Linked DNA regions of Oreochromis niloticus. The protein of the gene in region 3 interacts with the protein of the main gene of each other region in a pairwise test. Links are inferred from orthologs where the notes say so. Each region holds a gene or a part of one and is shown on either strand. Other genes may lie near its edges.

The links.
Region 1: the proteins of rab6a (region 3) and pmm1 interact in binary tests that used the Homo sapiens proteins (3 or more experiments, as listed by UniProt). The two-hybrid records come from large-scale screens. The link is inferred for Oreochromis niloticus from reciprocal best matches to the Homo sapiens genes RAB6A and PMM1.
Region 2: the proteins of rab6a (region 3) and protein bicaudal D homolog 2 interact in binary tests that used the Homo sapiens proteins (3 or more experiments, as listed by UniProt). The link is inferred for Oreochromis niloticus from reciprocal best matches to the Homo sapiens genes RAB6A and BICD2.

The regions. Positions count from the first base shown.
Region 1 is NC_031969.2:9,512,773-9,519,755, forward strand, and holds the start of pmm1 (phosphomannomutase 1), read right to left. Parts: upstream 3,043-6,983; 5' UTR 2,704-3,042; coding exon 2,620-2,703; intron 2,513-2,619; exon of another isoform or gene 2,458-2,512; coding exon of another isoform or gene 2,383-2,457; intron 1,578-2,382; coding exon 1,460-1,577; intron 502-1,459; coding exon 425-501; intron 224-424; coding exon 132-223; intron 1-131. UniProt on the Homo sapiens protein: Involved in the synthesis of the GDP-mannose and dolichol-phosphate-mannose required for a number of critical mannosyl transfer reactions. In addition, may be responsible for the degradation of glucose-1,6-bisphosphate in ischemic brain.
Region 2 is NC_031970.2:20,559,695-20,567,334, forward strand, and holds the start of protein bicaudal D homolog 2, read right to left. Parts: upstream 3,033-7,640; 5' UTR 2,775-3,032; coding exon 2,535-2,774; intron 1-2,534. UniProt on the Homo sapiens protein: Acts as an adapter protein linking the dynein motor complex to various cargos and converts dynein from a non-processive to a highly processive motor in the presence of dynactin.
Region 3 is NC_031975.2:10,589,731-10,597,576, forward strand, and holds the start of rab6a (ras-related protein Rab-6A), read right to left. Parts: upstream 3,076-7,846; 5' UTR 2,793-3,075; coding exon 2,723-2,792; intron 381-2,722; coding exon 322-380; intron 209-321; coding exon 155-208; intron 1-154. UniProt on the Homo sapiens protein: The small GTPases Rab are key regulators of intracellular membrane trafficking, from the formation of transport vesicles to their fusion with membranes.

The DNA.
Region 1 (6,983 bases), on a different chromosome or scaffold from region 3:
CTTGCTTCAGCGCCTCAGGTCAGTGCTAAAATACCTCACATTCCTGCAAAGCTGGAATTCAGGTTTGTCTTTCTGCCTTAGGTTAAAATAGCTTGTAGCCTAATTCTTGTGAGCTCTTTTTACTATCTCACCTTTTCTTTGGCAGCTTGATGAGTCCCATGTAGCTGAGGCAGAAGTTGATCAGGTCCTGCAGCAGCTCCTCCCCGATCTGGTTCTGAATGGCCTGCAGGGATTAAAGTACACGAAATGACACGGGTAAACAAATGGAGTATAACTAAGTTTTACAACATGGTTTATGACAGCAAATTACTTTGTTTATGCTTTTGTGCAATCTTCCTTTCATTACAATTCTACTTGTATTCTTTTTACTGTTATTTTTTGATTCAGGACATAAAAACATGTATCTCAGTATAGGAGCACTCACATGTTTTGAGAGGAGTTTCCCATCTTTGTACTGCACCGTCCCATTCTCAGCAAACACATAATCAAACTTGTGTATCACTGCAAGAGAAGAGACGGGTCAAATGTACCTAAATGTGCTCATCTATTTCTCTTTAGCCTACATACTAAATTTGGAGCAGGTCCTTCGCTAATCTGAAGACATACCTGCTATATTTACCCAACAGCAGATTAAAGCGTATGTAACGCTGGCTGGACGAGTTTAATCCTCCTGACTTTCACACTCACTCTGTGCTAAGACAATGACAGCCATCGAGGAAGCTCTGTAGCTGAGCCTGTGTTAAAGCCGCTTTTATAACTTGAACAGTGGCAAAAGCCAGTAAAACAAAAGCATGTAGAACTGCATAAAAACATGTTAGTTACAACAACTGTATCGAATTTCATATATGCAATGTTAATATTTACCTGTGACATTGTAACACAAAGTAAGTGAGGGTTCACCTTTGGCACACTTGGCAGGGTAAATGAAACTGCCTAGCTCTTTTTAGGCACAATGCAGCTGCATTCCAGCAGTAACCTCATATTTACTGACAGGCAGGTTATCAGCCTGCCCGCTGCAGCTGGGCGTGAACTCAGCTGAGAGGCTGCTGGTGCGATGCCCAGTGTTACGATGTGTGCTTTGGCTGCTGGTTTGGGGAATCACAAGATCATAAAGTGAAGTGAACATACCATGAGAGATCAGATGGTAGTCACAGTGCAGGGCGACTAGGCTTAGCATGTTTTGACCTGTTAGTCACTGTGAGACATTTACTAACCCATTCTCATCAACTGCAACACACATGAAGTTAATGACTGGCCCAACCAGCTTGCGCTGTTATTTATTTGTGGCAGGTCTCACTTTTAGAAGGATGCTTGCTTTAGATTAATTTGCAGCTTAAATCCAAAATTACTTCCAGAATTAATCATAACCTCAGCTCCACTCCTTGCACCCTGTGTCACGGCATGTTGGGTGATGGAGCTCGCAAGCATCTGTGGCTGAGACAGGAAGAGGACCACTCACCATCATCTCCCTCCCCAAGCTGCTCTGCAATCTTCGAGTAGTCCGACCCTCCCACGATGCCGATCTTCACCTTCTTCCGCAGAGTCTGGAAGAACTCATCCAGCTCCGGGTCGATTTTCTACAAACGGGAAAAGCACACTTTAATTAACACTTTATGTTTTAATGACACAAACACACCTAAACACACACACATATTGGCATCAACAACAAGCTCAGTCTGTCTTGCAAAGAGATGTAGTGTCATTTATTTGGAGCAGATTTAAAATTTCCCGATGTAAGGAAGAAAACTCCCCGAGCTGCACTCAAAGGAGACCACATTATGCAATATCCGGGCGCTGACGCGTCCTAGACACACACACACACACACACACGCGCACACACATGCACACACATCAGTGACCCTGCATGAACCTGAGCATAGAAAGTCAAAGACAAAAGAACAAGAGAGTGTGCACAAATCAAATGCTCCAGATACAAAAACCAAAGGCCCCATTAACCCTTACATAAGTGGTAATAAAAATGGTTATTTTAAATTTCCTGCAATAAGCCAGCTGAGCCATGCATTACGAGATATTCTGCACAGCAAGATGTGTACCTCACTGAGAGGCTTTGCAGCTGAATGGCGAAGCCTGCCTTCAGTAACTTATGATAGAACAGCTTTCTCATGCACAGTTGATGTTGTGAAAGGTTAAAAACTTTGAAATTAAATTGTAAAAAACACCTAAAATAATGAATCCAGGTTTGAATTCACATTGGACTGAAACCTCCTGGTTGGCAGTTATTGCACTTTTGTTCTGTCTTTTTCTCCGAGTTGCAACTATGACATCACAGCCCTGTGATTGGTCAGTTGCAGAGATCGCCCTGGAGCACCATTAATATAACATTGAAGATATACACCCATGTGCATCCCCGCAGACCAGTACCTGGGTATGTGTACAGGAGGCGCAAAGAGCGCAAAAAGGAAAGTAAACACTGTGAGAAAGAGCACGTGAAGTCATCAGGACACCATGTTCTCCTCTGATGTTCTCTCTACAGTGAGGTAAAGTGAGGTACCTCTCATTAGAGGCAAATGATGAGGGCAGAAGAGGAGAGAGCTGTCATGAAAGCTGATCATAACCGATAACAATAATAATAACATTATCGATGGGAAGCGAGCTCACCTCTCTCGGTGGTGTCAGAGTGCCGTCCACATCAAACAGGCAGAGGACGTTTCTGTCCGGAGAGAAGCCCTGTGCTTTCTCCATCTCTTCTTCTCCCTCACTGTTCTTATCTAGAGATTTTCAGCAGAAATGCTACTGCAAGGTCCACTCTCGTGCAAAGAGGCGCATAAAAATATCTCATTTACATAAAGAAAAAAATACATCCGCTATCAGCTGCAGTGTAAAAACCAACAAAATAAAAATATAAAATGAGCTTCCAGCTTTATAAATAAGGATGATTATCTTTCTCAGTGCGAGGCTCTTCTCTCCCTTATCTTTCTTCTGAGCCGCAGTCCTGCTGGTTTGTTTCGGGTCCGCTTGGCTCAGTGAGGCAGCTCTGCTCACACTTCAACACACGCAGCGTGCCGTACGTGTTGGATTTCTCTGTTTCTGTTCTGCAGCGCTCATTAAACGACCAGCCAATCACAGCCGGGGGACATACGTGACGTCAGGAGGCGGGGCAGGTTAATTTACTCGCCATTCAACGGCCGATGACCTTTCACCTACAAGCGATGAGCAGGAGCTGAAGTGGTGGTTGGAACAAGGAGGATGTTTGGTAAAAGCACTGATCAAAGCTTTGTTTATGAGAAGCGTCTGAATAACAGTGTTGACTGCAACTGCGGAAGCCCAGAGTGTCTGCTAATAGCAGCAGGATATCATATGATGCAGGTTTTTCTAGAAAATTAAGCCACAGTATTTCTAAAATATGCTTTGAGAGAACATTTCTGTTTATCAGGCTGAGTTTGTTACAGATCCAGATGAATTAATTCTCACATTCCTCCAGAGTTTTGTGTTTTTGCAGTATGTCAGAAAACCCCTTTGAATGTCTCCCTAATTCTGAGGTCTCAAGGTTGGCAAGTATGTGCTAGGCTTTGGCCCACATCAGTCTAAAACTGTATGTAACCATGAAAAAAGTGTTGCCATGTCCACCAGGACAGTATAGTATAGACAGTATAGTATAGACTCCTTCACATAGTGGACATTGAGTTGTTGTGTGGGGCACCAGTAATCCATGTGTGTTGCTGTAACAGTAGTTCATGTTTAGAATAAAAAGTCCCAGCTCACTGATTTGATCGGGGCAACAGTGTGCCTAAAATGTTGCATAATTTTGCTGCGAGATCTTTTACTTTGTGGTAATCTTAGATGAGTAGTTTTATGGACAAAAACCACCAGGTCATTCAGTGTTCCCTTAGTACTAATGTGTAAGAGATGTTGGTGTATTATAACTGAAGTAATGTTTTTAAGTCCTTGAAGTCATATTCTTTTATTGTCATGACTCTATTTCAAGCTTTTTTTTATTTTTGTATGATACCTGATTTATATGGAATATGGCTGAAGTAAACTAAAGTCTAAAATACTTAGTCATTTGTTTAATAGTAATTGAACATTATATAATTCACATATAAAACTATGAATTGTAATTTTAAATGGTTTAAAAGCATGTAGAATAGCATATGTAGGCACGTATATTTCTCCTTTTTTTTTATCAAGAAGCAAAGACAAAAAGGAAAAAAAAAAAAGAAACAGGGCAGGGTTCGGTGGTTGAGTCATCCGTCCCCACCAATGCCAAAACCAAATCTACGCCCTTGGTCAGAATTATGATCCAGGGATATTTTTCACAATGCATAGGGAGCTCTTCTGTTTTGTCTGGATGTATTGACATGTATTTAAAATGCATCTTTGTAATAGATACTTAAGGTTTTCTATATTAGATTTTTGCATTCTATTTTCTATTTAAATTTTTAACAGGGATAATGTGCATTAATAAACATTTCTGTAAATGCAAGAGTTAGCCATTCGTTTAAACCACAGGTGTCGAACTCCAGGCCTCGAGGGCCGGTGTCCTGCAGGTTTTAGATGTTTCCTTGATCCAACACAGCTGATTTAAATGGCTAAATTACCTCCTCAACATGTCTTGATGTTCTCCAGAGGCCTGGTAATGAACTAATCATTTGATTCAGATGTGTTGACCTAGGGTGTTATCTAAAACCTGCAGGACACCGGCCCTCGAGGCCTGGAGTTCGACACCCATGGTTTAAACCAATCTGTAGATTGAGTAGTTCCTGGCTCAATCTTTAAAGCAACTTTAAAAACTTTTAAAAAACCCATATATTTTTATCTGACCAAAACATTGTAAGAAAGGTTTTTTACATAGGTTTTTTACATATATACATATATGTATGTATGTATGTATATATATATATATATATATATATACTACACACACACACACACATATGTATATATATATATATATATATCTATATATATATATATGTATACACACATATATATATATATATATGTGACCATCCGGACCTTTGGTCTAACTGGAACTCTTTAAACTTTAGTTGAACAGCCCTGTCCTAGTGCTAATAGACATATTGTGTAACATTTTGTTAAAAAAACCAAACATTAATGTTTTCAAAGCACAGTAAGTTGTACTAATGTAAAACTTTCTGAAACATTTTCAATGTTCTAGTATAGAGACTGTAAAGCACTGCCAGACTGTGACCATGTAGTAATACAATAATTAATAAGGGAAAAATGTGATAATTCTGTTCTTATAACCCTATAATAGATGACAAATAGCATTTACTTTATATTCATGTCCTCAGGCTCAAATTACCTGAACCCTGGTTTTGATTTGGTCATTGTCTCCTGACCATGGGCAGGTTTGCTGCATTTGTTGCAGTTATTTCTTTAAATATTTGCACAATAGCCTTATTTTGCAGTTTTGCCTCTGTAAATTCATCCTACTATTAAAAAACCAGTTCTGATATTTAAAATTATGTATGTTTGTCTGGTTACATTTAAATCTCTGAAAATTGGGGGCTGTGTCTAAATTAATTTATGCTCTGGACTACTCAGCTGGTTGTTTGTGGCCTTCAAAATACCCTTTTCCAAATGGGAAGTTGCAGAGTGCCCTCTGTTGGACAAACTATGCAATATCAGTCATAGCATAGTTGTAGGACAGGGACATTAGCCTCATTTTACATTGTGTTCCACATGTAGTCGACTTTGATCTTAAACAAGCCAGACCAATTCAGTTCAGTTCAGCTCATTTATATCGTGCCAAACACACACAAAGCACCACTAGTGAAATTCCAATTTCTGTCAATGTACACATTTAATCCCTGAGATATCTTCATAATAGAAAAAGAAGTCTAATTTCAACTGCACATCTCTGTTTTTCTACATGATGAAGAAATGCTGCTCCAGCAAAGAAAGAAATCAGTCAGCATGACTCTGCGGGATTAAGCTATTCTCTACATATGTAAAAATGCAGACTAAGAGTCTGGGAGCTCATTGCCCAGACTGGGCTGTAAGTATAAATAAGAAGATTTTTGTTAATTCACAAAAAAGAAAAAACGGGGAAAAATAAGAAGTTTTCTGTCATTTGATTGTTTTCTATTACTTAATTACTTTGATGTAAGATAAATGTAGCAAAAGCTGTAAAACCTATGAAAATACAGTTAGAAGTCCAAAATGTTTTCCTTCACATTTTCCAGAGCTATGCCGTGGGCAGGATTGAAGTCAGACTGAAATCTTGCCCTGGGTCCTTATGTTTGACACCCGTGTTGCAGGGCATTTCTCTGACTTCCTCTTTACTTTTTTAATATTCATCTTTCGGCTGTTGTAAGTGGGAGTACTGATATATTGGCAAATTGGCTCCATTATTTATATATCAGTTGGACTCTAGTTAAATTTAAGTTATTCTTAGTTAAACCGGTGCTTTTGTAATAGTGAGGATGGGGAGAGTTGGAGGCTGCGTGCCTGATGGAAAGCTTTATTACATTTCATTTGCACTTGTTTAATCCAAACAAGGAAAATCAGAATCAAAGACTTACAAACACTCCCCCTCAGTGGGAGACGGTTGTATAGGAGCGAGCATCCCAGAGAAAAGTAAAATGCTTCTTCACACAGCAGCCAGTGTGGGTAAAATGACAATCTCTCTGACTCACAGTGTGACCCCCGAACTGGGGGTCCTCCCTGATCCACCAATAAAGCAATTTAAAATTAGAGGTGGCCCTAGCCTTTTGGGAAAAACCACTGATTAGTAAAGCAATTTCAGAAAGGCAGGCTCTCGCTTTGACCAGTGAGAGAGTGGAGGAGGTCTGGTTTAACCTGATCTCTGTGAAACAGCTGTTTGGGGGCTATGGCCACCACCCTCGCTCAAAACCTGCGACCCTAAGTGACCGGAAATTCTCACCTACCTGACTTACTAGAAAAAGCCCCCTGGCTATAACCCCTGGCCGCCATCTCAAACTCCTCCCAGACACATCAATAAAGTCATTTCAGAGGGGCAGGCTCACTGAGACACC
Region 2 (7,640 bases), on a different chromosome or scaffold from region 3:
ATATACACGATAAGTATCGGTTCTTACTCATCACTCTAAATAAAATTGTAGTTAAATTGGGGATGCATGGTTACATGTTACATTCACTGTGTTTATTTCTTTGGGTTTTTTTGTTACAGAAGAGTTTTGCTGCAAACACAGATTACATCTGAAACTTATTCAAACAACAATTTTGGCCAAACTGATTTTTCTAATGATAAAATGTTTCCTAACATGAATTTGTTTCTCTATTTAACGATGATGATGACAGAGCCTTTATGGATCCCAAATGAAATGTAGACATTCATTAGCACAAAAAACATCAAACATGAAATACCGATAAATACTGAAACTAGCAGAGACAACAATTATACTGTAACAGAATACGAGATGGTTTGTGAGAAACTACAATAGTGAAGTGACACTCTTACAGCAGTCATGCTCTACTAGAGGATACAGAACAGTACAATCTGCATAATCACAAAGATAGACTAAAAAAAGTGGATGTGACGACTTTCATTGTTTTTGATAATTAAATTACAAGGCCATAAACAACAAAACTAACTGCTTTCAAGTGTATTTGTAAATGCTTGAAGCCTAGTAATACATAAAACCATAACTAATAAAAATAGAGCACTGCAGCATATCTGCCATAAATAAATGATAGAATATTATGTTAAAATATAGAATCTTTTTAAAAAAAAGTATCCAGTATAAAATCAAATACTCTAGCTTCATACATGACCACCACTTGGTAAAACAGTTCAGTCACTTGAGGATTACAAAGTACTCAAATGTAAATTTCAAAATCTGGCAGAAATTTTAATTTTATTGACATTTTGACAGGTCTGTGTTTTTCTGCAATTAAAAAACACTGTTCAAATAATCATCAAAGACAAATCTGTACAGATATTGCTTTGATATTATAAAATAAATATTTATCTACTTTAAAACAGATTGGATAAATGGCAAGCAATATTCCCAAAGCTGCAGCATGTGTTTTACTTTCAATGTTTAACTAGCTACTAGGAACAGTCTTTGGAATCTTTTGCAAAATGTCACTTGAATAGTTTTACTAAGCAGGTGCAATGTGAACTAATTTTCAGAATAGCAGTAAACTGATGAATAATTTGATGCCATATCTGCACAATTACCTACTAAACAGCCAAACACACATTAAGTCAACAGTTACGTAACAGCAAATGGAACCCACTGTAGAGTTAGATGTCTTTTTCCGGCCAATTCTCAGTCAGACAAACAGATCTGTGTAACTAGGATCATAGTCATGGTCAGTCATGATGATGTGAATCGATAGGAGGCTGATAGAGGACGAGGATGGACGATTCCTTTACCTACCTCACTACTCAGCGATGTACTGTAGTAAGGGGAAACTGTCACAGTCATGAGATACTAAGTAAATGACCACAACAATTAGTCACTTCGTGATGCAACTATAATCTATAAACCAGAAAATTCCCGGTAGTGGCAAAAATCTCACATCCTCCTTTTTAATTTACATTTCATGATATTAGACTAGATTTCCTGTATAAAGGTATTAATAAGACTGCGACCCATTTAAGCCCAGCCTACACACAATGACCTATCACCATTTCACGTGAACACAAACACTGAAGGACACTAATAATAGAAATTGGACATTTAGACATACAGCTGACAGACAGCAATGTGGAAGTGCTTTAGGATGCATTTCCTCTACTGACTGACAGACTGGATGTGACAACAGTCTTAAGACTGAACTGAAGGGAAGTTCCCAACCACCCCCAACACACACACTTCTTTATTCTCTAATGAAATACAGACAGATTTTCCCACATGTTAGGATCTTAGTGGCTGGTGGTGCGTCTTATGAGTTGCTGTGAAAAAGTGTTGCCAAGTTATCTTTCTTTAGCTTAATGTTTACTAGATTCATAGATTCGCCCACCTGTCATATTTAGCTGTAGAGGTTATTCCTCTACAGTGAAACTGAAGGGCCTAGGGGTTGGCTGACATTGTGGGTTAAAAATGTCTCAACAGACAAGCTATTAGGAGATGAAAAGAAACACAGATATTCAGGGTTATTAACTTCTTTTTTTAGTGATTTCACCATTGGAAAAACTTCTATGTTATTTTTAAACAGGTTAACAGCAAATTGGCCAAACAGGCTTAAATGTGACATAAGCCACTGCAGCTACAGTCTGATTTCAAGGCCTCAGCCTTTGGAGCAAGTAAAGGCAAGTAATCCAAACTAATGACAGTTTTCATCCTTTAAGGCGAGGCAACATTAGGTAACACTGCAATATTTCTGCTTGGAGGTGGTTATGCATATTTCAAACTTCATATAATATTTGAGGAGGCAGGAGGGATATAAATAGACATGGGGCTGGGGCTCAGAGGAAGCAAACCCCACTACCGACTGCTTCTAGTTTGATCCCCGATGTCACTCTAAATTCCCACCGTGCTACTATTATAACATGCACTAAGTTGCTCTCCTCGCCTTCACATACTGACTGATGCCAGGACTTATATCTGGCTGCGTGGCGGTGACCTCGGGTTACCTCCTTCAGCTGATCCAATTCCTGTCGGACCGTCTCGTAGTCCGTCTCCAACTCATCAAATCGCTGCTTTAGCTGCTGTTTCTCCTCCAGCACCGCCAGCCCATACTCAGCCGCCTGGATCTTCTCCTGGGTCGTTTCGCGAAGCTCCCGGGTCAGACGCTCCACTTCGGCTTGGAGCCACTGCGGCCCGGCTTCTGTCACCAGTACCGCCTCAGGATATTCCTGCTCCTCCATAGACATCTTGGCGAGCCGCCGACTCCCAACTGTAACGGGACCCAGCCCTGACTAGCGGGAGCAGCGGAGCAAACCACCAAGACCGCAAATCACTGCCTTCTTTGTTTGGGGCGCATTGTTGGGCTTAAACTGTGTTTAGTTTCCCGGGCTTTCTCTCACTGCGGACCTCGACGGAGCTTAAACTGGACAACAGTTTGCTCATTCTCGATATTTTTCTGTCCCTTCTTGAAGCTGACAGAGGAAACTTCAGTTGAGATCATCGATTAGAAAAAAAAAGCTCCCCCCTACACGGCATTCAAATCAGCGTGACTACGAAGGGAAATGTAGTTTTAAGTGAAGCGCGCCACCTCAAGTACTCCTTGCTTCTGAAGCCGCGTTGACTACAAGTACCAGAATGCATTGCGTCTGTCGAGACAGGACCCCACAGTTTACTGAAACGCCATCTAGAGAATCAATAGTGAAATTGCAACTATAATTACATTGGGAATTAGGATCTTTATTAGAGTCTATGGGTATTTTCGTTATACTCACTTGTCGAATGAACAATAGATTAGTTAATTATAGAAATATGATCTTCAGTCACTTTATTTATTAGGTACACCTGTTCAACTGCTCATAAACGCAAATATCAAATCAGCCAATCACATGGCAGCAACTTAATGCATCCAGGCATGTAGACATGGCCAATATTATCTGCTGAAGTTCAAACTGAGCATCAGAATGTGGAAGAAAGGTGAGTTAGGTGAATTTCATTTAAGTTTTATGATTGATGGTGTCAGGCGGGCTGGTTTGAGTACTTTACTGCTGCTCTACTGAGATTATCGCACACAACCATCTTTAGGATTTACAGAGAAAATATCCAGTGAGCATGGTTGATGTCTGCTTCAAGCTCATAGGAAGGCAACAGTAACTCAAATGGCAATTCACCACAACTAAGGTGTGCAGAACAGCATCTCTAAATGCACAACTCGTGCAACGTTGAAGAAGATGAGCAAAAGACCACACCGGGTTCCACACAAGTGGCAGCTAAGAACAGGAAACTGGACAATAGACGACTGGAAAAAACATTGCATGATCTGATAAGTCTTAATTTCTGCTGAAACATTCTGATAGTAGGGACAGAATTTGGTATAAGATGAAAGCATGGATCCATCTTGCCTTATATCAGCTGCTCATGCTAATGCTGATGGCGCAATGGTGTGTGAGATTTTTTCTTTGGAACACTTTGGGGTACTTAGTACTAACTGAGCATCATTTAAATGCCACAGTCTATCTGAATTCTGCTGTTTGCCATGTCCATCTGTTTACACTGTGGCTATCTTCTATTGACTGTGTCCAGCAGGATAACCATCTTCAAATGATCTCAAACTGGTTTCTTGTACATGTTCACTCTACTCAAATGACCTCCACAGTCATCAGATATCAATCCAATAGAGCACCCTTGGGATGTGATACAATGGGAGATTTGGGTCATGGATGTACAGCTGACAAAAAGGGGGCTAATGAATATATATATATATATATATATTTTAAAAAATCACAAAAAAATATTTAATATTTTGTTTATTTTCCTTCTTTATTAGAAAATGGAAAAAGTTTATTATAAAAGTAGCGGGCAATTAAGTACTTTTAGAAGTCTTGTTAAATGGTCAGAAGGTCTCTATCCCTGACTTAAATCTGCTCATGAACTACGTGGACTGACACCAGGTTGTGGTTATGTGATCAAAGAGTGCAAAGACTGTCAGCTTTTTTGTGTATTTATGTGTAAATTACAGTAAAAAAAAAAAAAAATGCTTTAAAAAAAAATTTATTTGAATGCCAAACAACTGAGGACATGATTCAAATCTAGTAGTTCACAAGGTGACAGAGCACTGTCTTATTGTTTTTAACCTTTGACACACGTGAATGTGAAAGAAAAACTGTGTCAGCGGGACTTCCGTCCATGGTAGTGACAGTCCTTGGCAGTAGTTTGAGGAAGTTGTCTACTGAATGCTGATTGTTTTGTATTGCTACACCTGCCTGGGGACTTCAGGAGCAGCTGAGCTGAAATGGTGTGTACACCTGTGTTTCTGCCTTTCGCTGAGGTTTTCTATCTACGATTGTAGCTCTTGCTCTGTGTAGGCACATTGTTATATTTATAACAGTGTGTCTAAACAGTGTGTACATTGCTGCTTTCACTTTCTCTCACATGCTGTTTTTTCTTATTTCCTATTATCAGCAGCATGTTGTATGTTTATCCATCAACCTATTGATCATTTCTTTTTCAGGAGTACAAAAGGAAGTTAATTTTTGACTTTTATCAACACTGTATGTATATTTATTATGTTTATTTATTATCAACAGATTTGGCAGAGATGTTCCTTTCTGTAGAATATTCATTTGAAACCTATTATTCTGAACATTTCAGATAAATATTACCATTTCTATTCAATCTGCTTTGGACTGGGATGTGGAATGGCTTTCTATAGGCCATTTCGAAGTAAGTTACACTTTTTAAGCCGCTGTTCAAAGTAATTAACCTCTGGCTGAGCCAAGACTGAATAACGACCCATTTATTATTTTTGCTTTCACTTTCAGCACTCGCAGTTCCAGTATGTCTTGGTATATTTTGCACCATAGCGTTTGAGATTCTGGGCATTTTTACTGGTAAGTAGAATTTTTTATAAAATTCACACCAAAATTTAAAGCGAAATGTTTTTCCAAAAAGAAAAATGTAATTTTACATAATGCACTGCAGGTTCTGCTTGTCACAATGTCTGTCTTGACTTTTCTACCCTGCTCAGACCTGCCTGCCCATACTAAAAGATGTAAAGGTGCTCCCTACGACAACAGAGGTACTTCCCGCTGCTATATCAAAGACAGAATCCTAATCTTACATCAGAGTCCATATTTAGATTGGTTTTGTATAAAAGCTAAACATTACCATCAAACTCTCCTTAGATACCTACTGGGGATTTGCTGTTGCACTATTTGTTGCTTTCTTGCACCTCCACTCATATCATGGTAAGACCACAATACTTTAAATATAAGACTTTATATAATACATGGAATATTCAGATACTCAGGGGATATACTGTTTTAACTGTGGTTAAATAATGTGTTTTTCAGTTTACACACTATCGTATGGATGTGGAATCATAACGTTTGCTCTTAGAGGAGCAAAACGGAAATACAGCTCTCTGAGGTTTGTCCTCTTCAAAAACTATTTTTGCACATTCTTCCTGTAGAATACAGACTGTTTAAAGAGCAGTGCTTATCAAAGTTTAGAGTGTAGAAGGCCAGTGGGAAATATGGAGAGGAAAGATGTTCAGTCAGAATGCTTGATCTACAAACAAACACGGGTTTTCTTATATTATGGCTCTGATCTTCATTTAACTAAATATTAAACTCATTTTTTTAATCGATTATGACTCATATGAATTGTGTGGTGGTGGATGTCATTATTTTTTTTATTCGCTCCTGAAGGGGGCATGCTAGTACAAGTTTTAGGAGCACTTCTGCAGAATTCATTCAATGTTTTTAAATGTTTTTGAAAGTTGGGATTTGTATGACCCAAAAAAATGCATTTGTTTGTTTTGAACAGGGAGCAGAGAGAGAGAACGAGAACCTGGTGGTGGTGATTTTAAAATTACAGTGGGGGGATTTACAGGAAGCTATTTAAGTGGTATTTAAGATGATGAGATGGTGACGTTTTATGTCACTGTAGAAACAAACACTGTAGTTTCCTCTTTTTTTCCACTATAAATGTCTCTGCAAACTTGTGAATGTATATTATACCAGTACACTGAAGTTCATCTGACTTTCATAAGATGGGACTGTCTCATACCAATGCATGCTAACACTGATGGCTGTTCATAAATTTCATAGATACTTTCCCATTATAGTTGCAGATTGCTGTTTATGAGCAGTGCTTAAATAACACACGTCAACACAAAGGCGAACAGAAACTATTGTAAATGGTAAAAGTCAAATGCAGAGGGCTTTATTACATGAAAGTATGGTACATACAAAATTTCAAGTAACAAAGAAAGTGTTTGTTCTTAGGCTGACACGCTGGACGTAACTAGCTATTCAACATCACAGCCCACTGTATCCTCTATCAGCACTGGTGGCTCTTCTTTGCTCCACGTTGTGTAAAGATTACACTGCTGTTGAGGTCCAAAAGCAGTGCTAGAGCACAAATGAACACTGAGGTGTGTTGGTTTACGGTAACTGAAATTTCAATAACAAAAGACATTGCTGAATAGAAACAAATTTAAAAACTACAAAAATGAAAGTGAAATCATCTGAATGTTTAAATTCTGGCTCTGCATGACTGCTCTTTATGACGTGTACACATTTCTTTCACTTTGTTTCCTAAAGTCTTTCACAACAACAACTCATTTAGTTTCTGTCTGACACACACACTCTATGATAAACACCGACTTGAAAACTATGCCCCACTCAGTATTACAAGCTATAGCAAAACAATATAAAACCACTGCCAGTTGAATGAATCCAGGAGCATTAAGAACACATTAGAGGATCACACAGCAGACATGTAATACCGGACTTTTTTTTTTTTTTAATAGTGAGCATCCACCAATGAAAATGTCAGTTATGTCCACATTTCTATCATTGAAATGGGTCTATAACAACGCTGGTATTATCAGTGAGGATATGCATGTTGCATGAATTTGTGTGTCTCAGTTTTGGTGATAAATACACAAAAAGGAAGGCAAACATGGAACTCTAATGTGTACAGCACAAAATCACATTACTTTAGTAGCCTACACACTTAGGGGTATTCACTGTGAACGAAATCAAAGAGTTGGGTGCCATGTGAATCGAAAACATATTTGACTACTTAGCCTTATCTTCAGGGGTGTAATT
Region 3 (7,846 bases):
AGGGGGATACAACACTCCTGATCACAGTAGCAATGTACAAATGCTGTCTCTGTGTGTGTTAGAAAGAGCCCAGTTCAGTGGCTAAAGAAAAGCAACTGAACAAGAAGAAGAAAAACAAAAACAGAGTTACTGGATGTGACAAAAATAAACTTACTGTTCTGTCTTCAAGATACATAGTTTTTGACAGGAAATCAATTCCTATTGTGGCCTGAAAAAAAAAGAATCAACCAAATATTCACAGTCATTTCCAATGAGTATTGCTGTTGATATCAGGCATCATCAATGATTATTAAAGTTAAAAGTGGAGGTGTTAAGTCTCACTTGGTAGGTGTTGTCGAAGCTGTCGTACATGAACCTGGTGATCAATGAAGTCTTTCCCACTGCACAAACACAAACAAGAAACTCTTAAAGAGTGCAATGACCACACGATCACTTTGATTTTGGAGAAGAATTAGGTCCATCTTTTCCCCTGGAAAAAAGAACTGCCTCTATAACTGAACCTATTCTACATTTCCCCCCAACTAGAAGAAAATTTAAAACTGAAAATGCTTTTTACACTTTCTGAGCACCCAAAGTCTTCAAACAGATTATTTTATCTGACCAACTGTCTAAAACCTAAACATATCTAATTTGCAATAACATAAAGCAAGCCAGCTGCCTTTAACTGGAGCCAATAGGATTCTGGTAATCAAGTAAGTTCACTAATAATTTCAGCTGTAAGCAAAATAATTATTTCAGGGCTAAATAAAAACTACGCAGATCTCTGAAAGCTTGCAGAAATGAAATGTGTTTAAAGTTATTCAACCCGAAGCAGCTGCTGTGGCCCTTTTCCACAGATGATGACCACTAATAACAGAGTAAAGCAAGCAGCTTCATGTCACACAACTCCCACTGCCCTCTTCAGACCTCTTGTCCACTAAGCGTGTAGTGCACAGCTGTTCAAAGTAATTCAGGAGTCAGAGGGTTGAGCAAAGCACAGAGAGAAAAAGGGCTGTAAGCAAAGTTTGCCATTTATGTCTGAACTCCCCCCACCAGTGTATCCAGGGTGCTGATTTGATCCACAATGGAGGGTTTGTGTCCATATGTAATATGAAACTCTGTAATGTTGTTCAACACACAAAACTACGCTTTACAAACTTTGCAGCTGTAAAATGCTTCAATTTTTTTCTAATCTCATAGAAAAACATTTATGAATACCTTTAACACATCAGGGACAGTCACACAGCAGCTCTGAGTACTCGCACAGTGCTGCCAGTTCTCAGACTGTTTTTGCTGAGCTCGAGTTACATTATCAGTTACAATGTCCATCAAGGGATGGTGACAGGGCTACAGACAACACTGCTGTTTACAAGGCTTAAAGGAGCCACAGCTTATCACAGACTGTCCGAAAAACGCAGTGTGTCTTTCCCATCTTGGTGGGACTTACGGGTCATATTATAGCAAAAACATTTATTACAGTTTTGTCAATAATGTCATCAAGTTTTGGCTTCCTTATTGCTTCCTTAATTCTTTCCTAGTTTCATTTATCACAGCAGCTTCTCAACTCACATCTTTTCTAAAGAGATCTGTATTATTTTATATACAGTCTATGGCACAGTGCGACTGAAAGACAAGTTTTATATTTTGGGAAAAAGGTATGCAGGGACTCTTTCTACGTTTGCATTTTTTAATGTTCTTGGGTATGTCTTATAATAAATATTTGTGCAATGTAATGGTTTTGACATTTCTTGTAATTTCTTCAGCTTAGATGTTTATTATGTATTTAGCTTCCTTTTTTGTGAGTGATTGGGTTTGTTATTCTTCTCACATCACAGCAGGAGAAGCCATGACTTCTTTGTTCCTTTCTTGCTGGAAAATTATGAATAAATGGTGCAAAATCTCATCTTGACAATAGCCCCTTTTTTGTCTTCCCTATTGTCCTTTGGTGGCTATCTGAGTTCAGGTTTGATCCAAGTTTCTCTTTACCGAGAATTCCAACTTCATACTGTTTTAATAAAGCAACATGAAACAGCTCCTTCAAATATGTTGCAAGTATATTCCAAAGAAAGAGACAACGCTGGACCAATAATCCAAATTCTACTTTAAACCCTAAAATCTGTGGACACCGCGGACGACACAACGAACAGCCACACAGCTTTACCTAAGACATGAAAAACAGCCCACACGAACCCTCTGTGTAGACACTGAAGGAGTGTAAATTAGTAGGGAGATCGCAGGAATGCTGCTTGGCAGGATCGTCCAATTTGGAAGTTGCTCCAGGGTAGAAATTATGAATTTATGATCACTCTAGTATTATGAACATCTTCTAAACACAGCAGGGTATGACTGGAGTTCACCTATCCTACAATAACGAAGACATAATGCTGGTGCTTCATATTTTAACATCCTGTTAAATGACACTTGGTAATTTCCGATGCCTCCGTTAATGATGTGTTATCACAGCCCGTCACACAACTGAAGTAAGAGTCCATTTTCACAGACATGACTCATTTTGAAGGAAATGAATCACCTTTTTAATCAGGCCAAGGCGAAGAAACTGTTCGTAACAAGTTACTGTATCGTAATGCCATCACTGCCAAGTGTTAACGATACGTGGCTAACGTTAGCTAGCTAGTTGGTTGACGTTAATCACCCACCAAACTCTGGTGTTAGCTAAATGTCCAACAGAGCAAAAAACTTAAATCCTACATCCCACAACACTTAAAATTACCAGCAGACTTACCGCTCTGTTCACCAAGAAAGACCAGTTTAAATTTTCTTAAAGGGTTTCCGAAGTCTCCGGCCGAAGACATGACTGAATCAAACCTTGACGTTACTTTTCGGGAGCTTCCTAGCTAGTCAGCTAATGCTAACTAACCAGTTGTTGTCAGTTATCAAATGTCCAGAAGCAGCGAAAATGAACAGCCCCACTCGTGGCTGACTTGAGGAAATTTTGTGCTCGAAGCGTATTCCTTCAAAGTCCAAGTCAATATTAAGCACCTCACTAACTACTGCGACCAAGTTAGCGTTACTCTTCTACTCTGTCATATACACCAAACCAACCAGCCACCTCGGGCCACTCTTCTTCAGATACAACTTTATGGATTGATGTGTCTTGGCATGTTGCGGTGCTGCCCTCTGCTGGTGGAGCAAAAAACCCACAATGAAAAACCAGACTGCCCCTTTGGCAGAGCAACGCACTGATACATATGATTCAGTGGATTTTTTTTTTTATTTCACAAAGTTGGAAGCATTATGAGGGAAAAAAAACTACCGCGCTAAGGCTGAAAAAGAAGGAAAAGGCAGGGTGTGTTTTTTTAAAGCCCACTAGAGGGGGTACTTTCATCACAGGTGAGATTTCACTACTAAGCAATTTTAATGGGAATCCCAATAATTTTTAAACCTAAAGAATTAGACGGTGACTTTTACCGATGGTTAAATTACATGGAAACATTTTTTAACATCCATCCATCCATCCATCCATTCGCTTATCCTGTTCAGGGTCGCGGGGTGGGAGGTGGGAGGGGGGCTATCCCAGCTGTCTTAGGGCAAGAGGCAGGGTACACCCTGGACAGGTCGCCAGTCTGTCGCAGGGCTAACACAGAGACACAGACAACCATTCGCACTAACATTCACACCCGCATTCACACCTATGGGCAATTTAGAGTTTTCATTTAACCTATCCCCACTAACTGCATGTCTTTGGACTGTGGGAGGAAGCCGGAACCCACGCAAACACGGGGTCAGCACTTATGATGAAATCCTTCAGAAGTAGAAGATTAAGGAAGACAACAAGCACTAATAAATGACTATTTCTATTAAAAACAGTCCCCAGTAGTGAGTAAAATTTACATTAGAATTTCTTTCTTTGTTACTCAGAGTTTTTAGGTAAACTTGATTTCATTTTTTTCAATGTAGAATAAACGTTGTTTAAAGAAACTGTGTAACACTCCCATATAGCATTCGACAGTGTTAATCAGTCCTGTTGGTGCTGAAAGAATGGCATTCTTTTTGTTCAGCCTATTTTTAAACCTCACTGCAATGTGCACATGTTCAGCCTTATATTCGCTCTATTAATGCCAGGTTTTGCTGGTAACCATTTAGCATCAAGCCAACTGGCATTAAGAGTCCTTGTGAAGGAAATTAAATCACAGTTGAGGGTAGCAGTTTGTAGCTGTGAAAGTGGATGTCTGACTTGTTAGTTCTATTATGTCGGACACTTTTAAAAAATTGGTATCAGCCTGTGATGTTTACAGGACCCTGTGTAGCTTTTATTGGATTACTCATGACCTTCAGCTCATCAGACAGCTGCTGTCCTGAAGGATGAAGCCCCGAGGCAACATACAAGGTGGTTTACTTACTCCACCCAAAGACAGAAAAGATAAGATAAGATAAGACTTTATTGATCCCATGGTGGAGAAATTTGTGCGTTACCTCAGCTCAGGTGCAGATAGCAGAAGAAAAATACAAAAATACAAATAAAATACAAACAAATACAAAATAAGTAAAATAATACACTATACACAACGATAAAACACACGGTACATGATTATGGATAGAGGGATGTATGAATGAAAATGCTGGCATGAAGGCTTCATGATTTAATTACGTGGCACTAATTTGTGCTGCAGTATACTTTATTCTACCTGTTTAATTCTGTTAGTGTTTTAATAAATTATATAAATGATCCACTCTCATATACAGCAATGAACACTACACCTCTGCTTTTTTACCTGCAGTCATTTAAATACCAAATCAAGATACTTATAATCTCCCACTGACTGATAACCATCTTTGGTCTCAATATTTTGTCATTCCAGCATCCTTGTTGTTAGGGTAATTTAATTCTTACATAATTCCTATTAAAGATACATGTGCTGTGTAAGGGCATGTATTATTTGTGTGGACATACCCATCCTGATGAGATCAAAGATGAGCTGAAACAGAAAATAAATTAAAATGTCAGAACCCTACAGATGCAAGTGTTTTTTTCAACTATTAATTAACCAGAGGAAACACATCTGACTTCACCCTACTGTTCACTAGCCTGGATTACGTTTACATTTTAGGGGTTTTAAGTATAAAAGGCAATGCATTATTAGTGTGTAGGTACAGTATGTGAGTTCATGCCTGCTTGAGCCAGCTGTTCTAAGTCACTGAAGAGAAGACACACCTGCGCCCCGCTCTCATTCATGTGCCATGCAGCTCTGAAGTCTCTTTGCAGAGCAGCTGACCGGCTGATGCCAGCCCTTCAGCTGCTCTGGTTGCGACCCGCGCCTCATTAAACTTGAGCCATCAACTTGAGCCGGCTGCCTCTCCCCTCCCTCTTCTCTCCTCAATAGCACTCCTACGCCACATGTCCTTGGCCAGGGAAAGACCCCAAATCTCCCGCCCCTCCCGCTGAAGATGCTGAATTAACAAATTCTCCATTGCTCCCGGTCTCCCTCACTCAGTCATTCTCCGCCTCTCACGCATAAGCATACAGAGGGATGCGGCACGTGTGTTTCCACGCGCACAGCAAGACGGATTGCGCTGTAGACCTCTGTAGAGCTTGTGCATTTTGAATGTGCTCATTTTTGAAAAATGCATCAGCACCCTGAATTGAGGAGGTGCTATCAAATTTCCCCCGAAGCTCCTCAAAGTCACGCACCTTATTCGGCAAGAAACTGAGCTGTCAGCTTGAAAAGCGTGTAATCCAGAATCAAAGGAGCATGACTAAAAGGAAGCATGGTGCAAAAGAATCGAAGCTGTCACCTCAAGTCATGACTTCATCCTGGTGCGCTGGTCTCATGTCAGGCCACCACACCATTTACTTCTGCAAAACTTGACTCAGTCTTCTAGATGGGAAAACCTTGCTATGACTCACATATTGGGGAAAAAAAGTCTTTATTTTTTTCTTCTCTTGTTCAGATAGAGACAGTGTATAGGGGATGTTTGTGCATTATTGTATGAATCTGACCGTATCCATGTGCGTAATGGATGGAGACCATCACATTCCCACACCACCTTGATCTAATGTCAATGTCACACCAAAGTACAACACTGTGCTCATCTCTCCTGTGAGGGAGACTGAACGCAAGGGCTCTAATGGAGGAGAGACTGATGAGGAACAGAGAGAAGATGAAAAGGGGAAATCGGAAAAAAGGGGTATGAAGGTTAGGCCAGGGTAAAATAGGTGTGTTGTCATCCCCAATACAGTAAGATAGAGAAAGGGAGGGGATATGTGGGGGATGGGGTGGAGCAGAGCTACAATTCTCCTGTAATCCTCCTCCTGGAATCATGAGGTTAGATGATGAGAGGGGGGGAAAAAACCAGGAAGAGAGCATTTGAAGTGAAGGGAAACACCGTCGAGCTTCCAGACTGGAACAAAGAACTGCAATGAACACAGGGCAGGAGGCGCAGTTAGATCACAACTCCGTCTTTTCTGTGCAACATCAGGCAGGAACAGGCACAGCAGTACAGTGGGAGGCATTCTTGCAAGCATAACCGAAGCAGAGATCAGAGTAGCAATCCAAGCACATTTACAAGAGGAGGCAGGGAAGGAGGGAGGGCGAGAAGGAGGGATGAGAGAGAGCAGATCTATGAAAGGAGGAGGAGGGGTGTTGCATGCTCACAGAGTGTGACAGAGATAGAGCGATGAACGAGGCTGAGACACAGAGAGAGAGAGAGGGAGAGAGGGGAGAGCACAGAGCAGAGATGGGGACCGAACGCTGAGACAGAGGTAGTTGGCAGGACTCAGATCTGCAGAACAAACGTGAGGAAAAGGAGGAAGAGAGCGAAGGTGAAGGAGAGCAGGAGGGAGAGAGGCGGGAGGGAGGGGGGGTGCAAGATGATGGAGCCCAGAAATAGGTTTCTCAGGACAGCTTTTCATCCCTGCAAGACATGACTCTTGGTGTTGGACTGTGCTGAATTTTGCCAGGGGGACAACTCAGGACAACACAGGACAACACAGGACAGCAGGTCTGCAGCACATTGACTGGGTTCAGCCTCACTGGATGCAGCAAAGCAGCTGATTTATTACTGAGGGGCTGGGTGGCAGCGTGTTTGAGTGTGTGTCTCTGAGCGTGCGTGTGTGCATGTGTGTGTATGCATGTGTGTGTATGCAGGTTTTTATGGGTCCTTGTAGCACTCAGAGCTGTGGGAGCGACCATTCCTCCAGTCATGAAATGACATTCAGCAGGCAGGAGCTTTGTGTGCTGGCGTGGATCTGCAGTCCTCAGTAGGAAGTGCGAGAGTGGGATTCAGAGCTGTCATCGAGTGCAAGTGTGTGTGTGTGTTTACAGTGCCGTTTGCTGAGGTGAGCCAAGGAGGATCAGCTGTATGTGTTGTGTGTGTGTGTTTAGGTTGGAGTAGCAAGGGTGCAGCAAAGGCAAAGCTTCTACACAATGCAAGGACGATTGCAGAGGAGCACCGATGGCAGTGAGTGCAGCTAAAGTACAAGGAGTGCCCTGGGGGTAAGGTGGAGGACAAAGGCAGGGACAGAAGAAGGAGAGGGGAAGGAGAACAGAGGCAAGTGGAAAACAGAGGGTGATCATGGCTGTCATTCAGTGAGCTATAGCATATGCTGTAGCGCAGAGCGGAGTAGTGCGGCAGGGGGAGGACAAGCATCACTGCACAAGGGAGGGGGAGAGACTACGGGAGAGAAGGTGGGGGAGTGGTGTGTGTGTGTGTGTGGTGGGGAGGCGATCAGCTCAGCACCTCTTCAGCACCTGGAAGAGGAGCAGAGCGGGACAGGCCCAGGAGAAGACACTCATTCATTCACGTGCACAGAGATTAACTGATAAGCGGCCAGGTCAACGTGTAGAGGTCAAAGGGAGCCGAGGTGTGACGGGGGTGGGTGGGTGGTTTGACTGTACTCTCTGCTGGT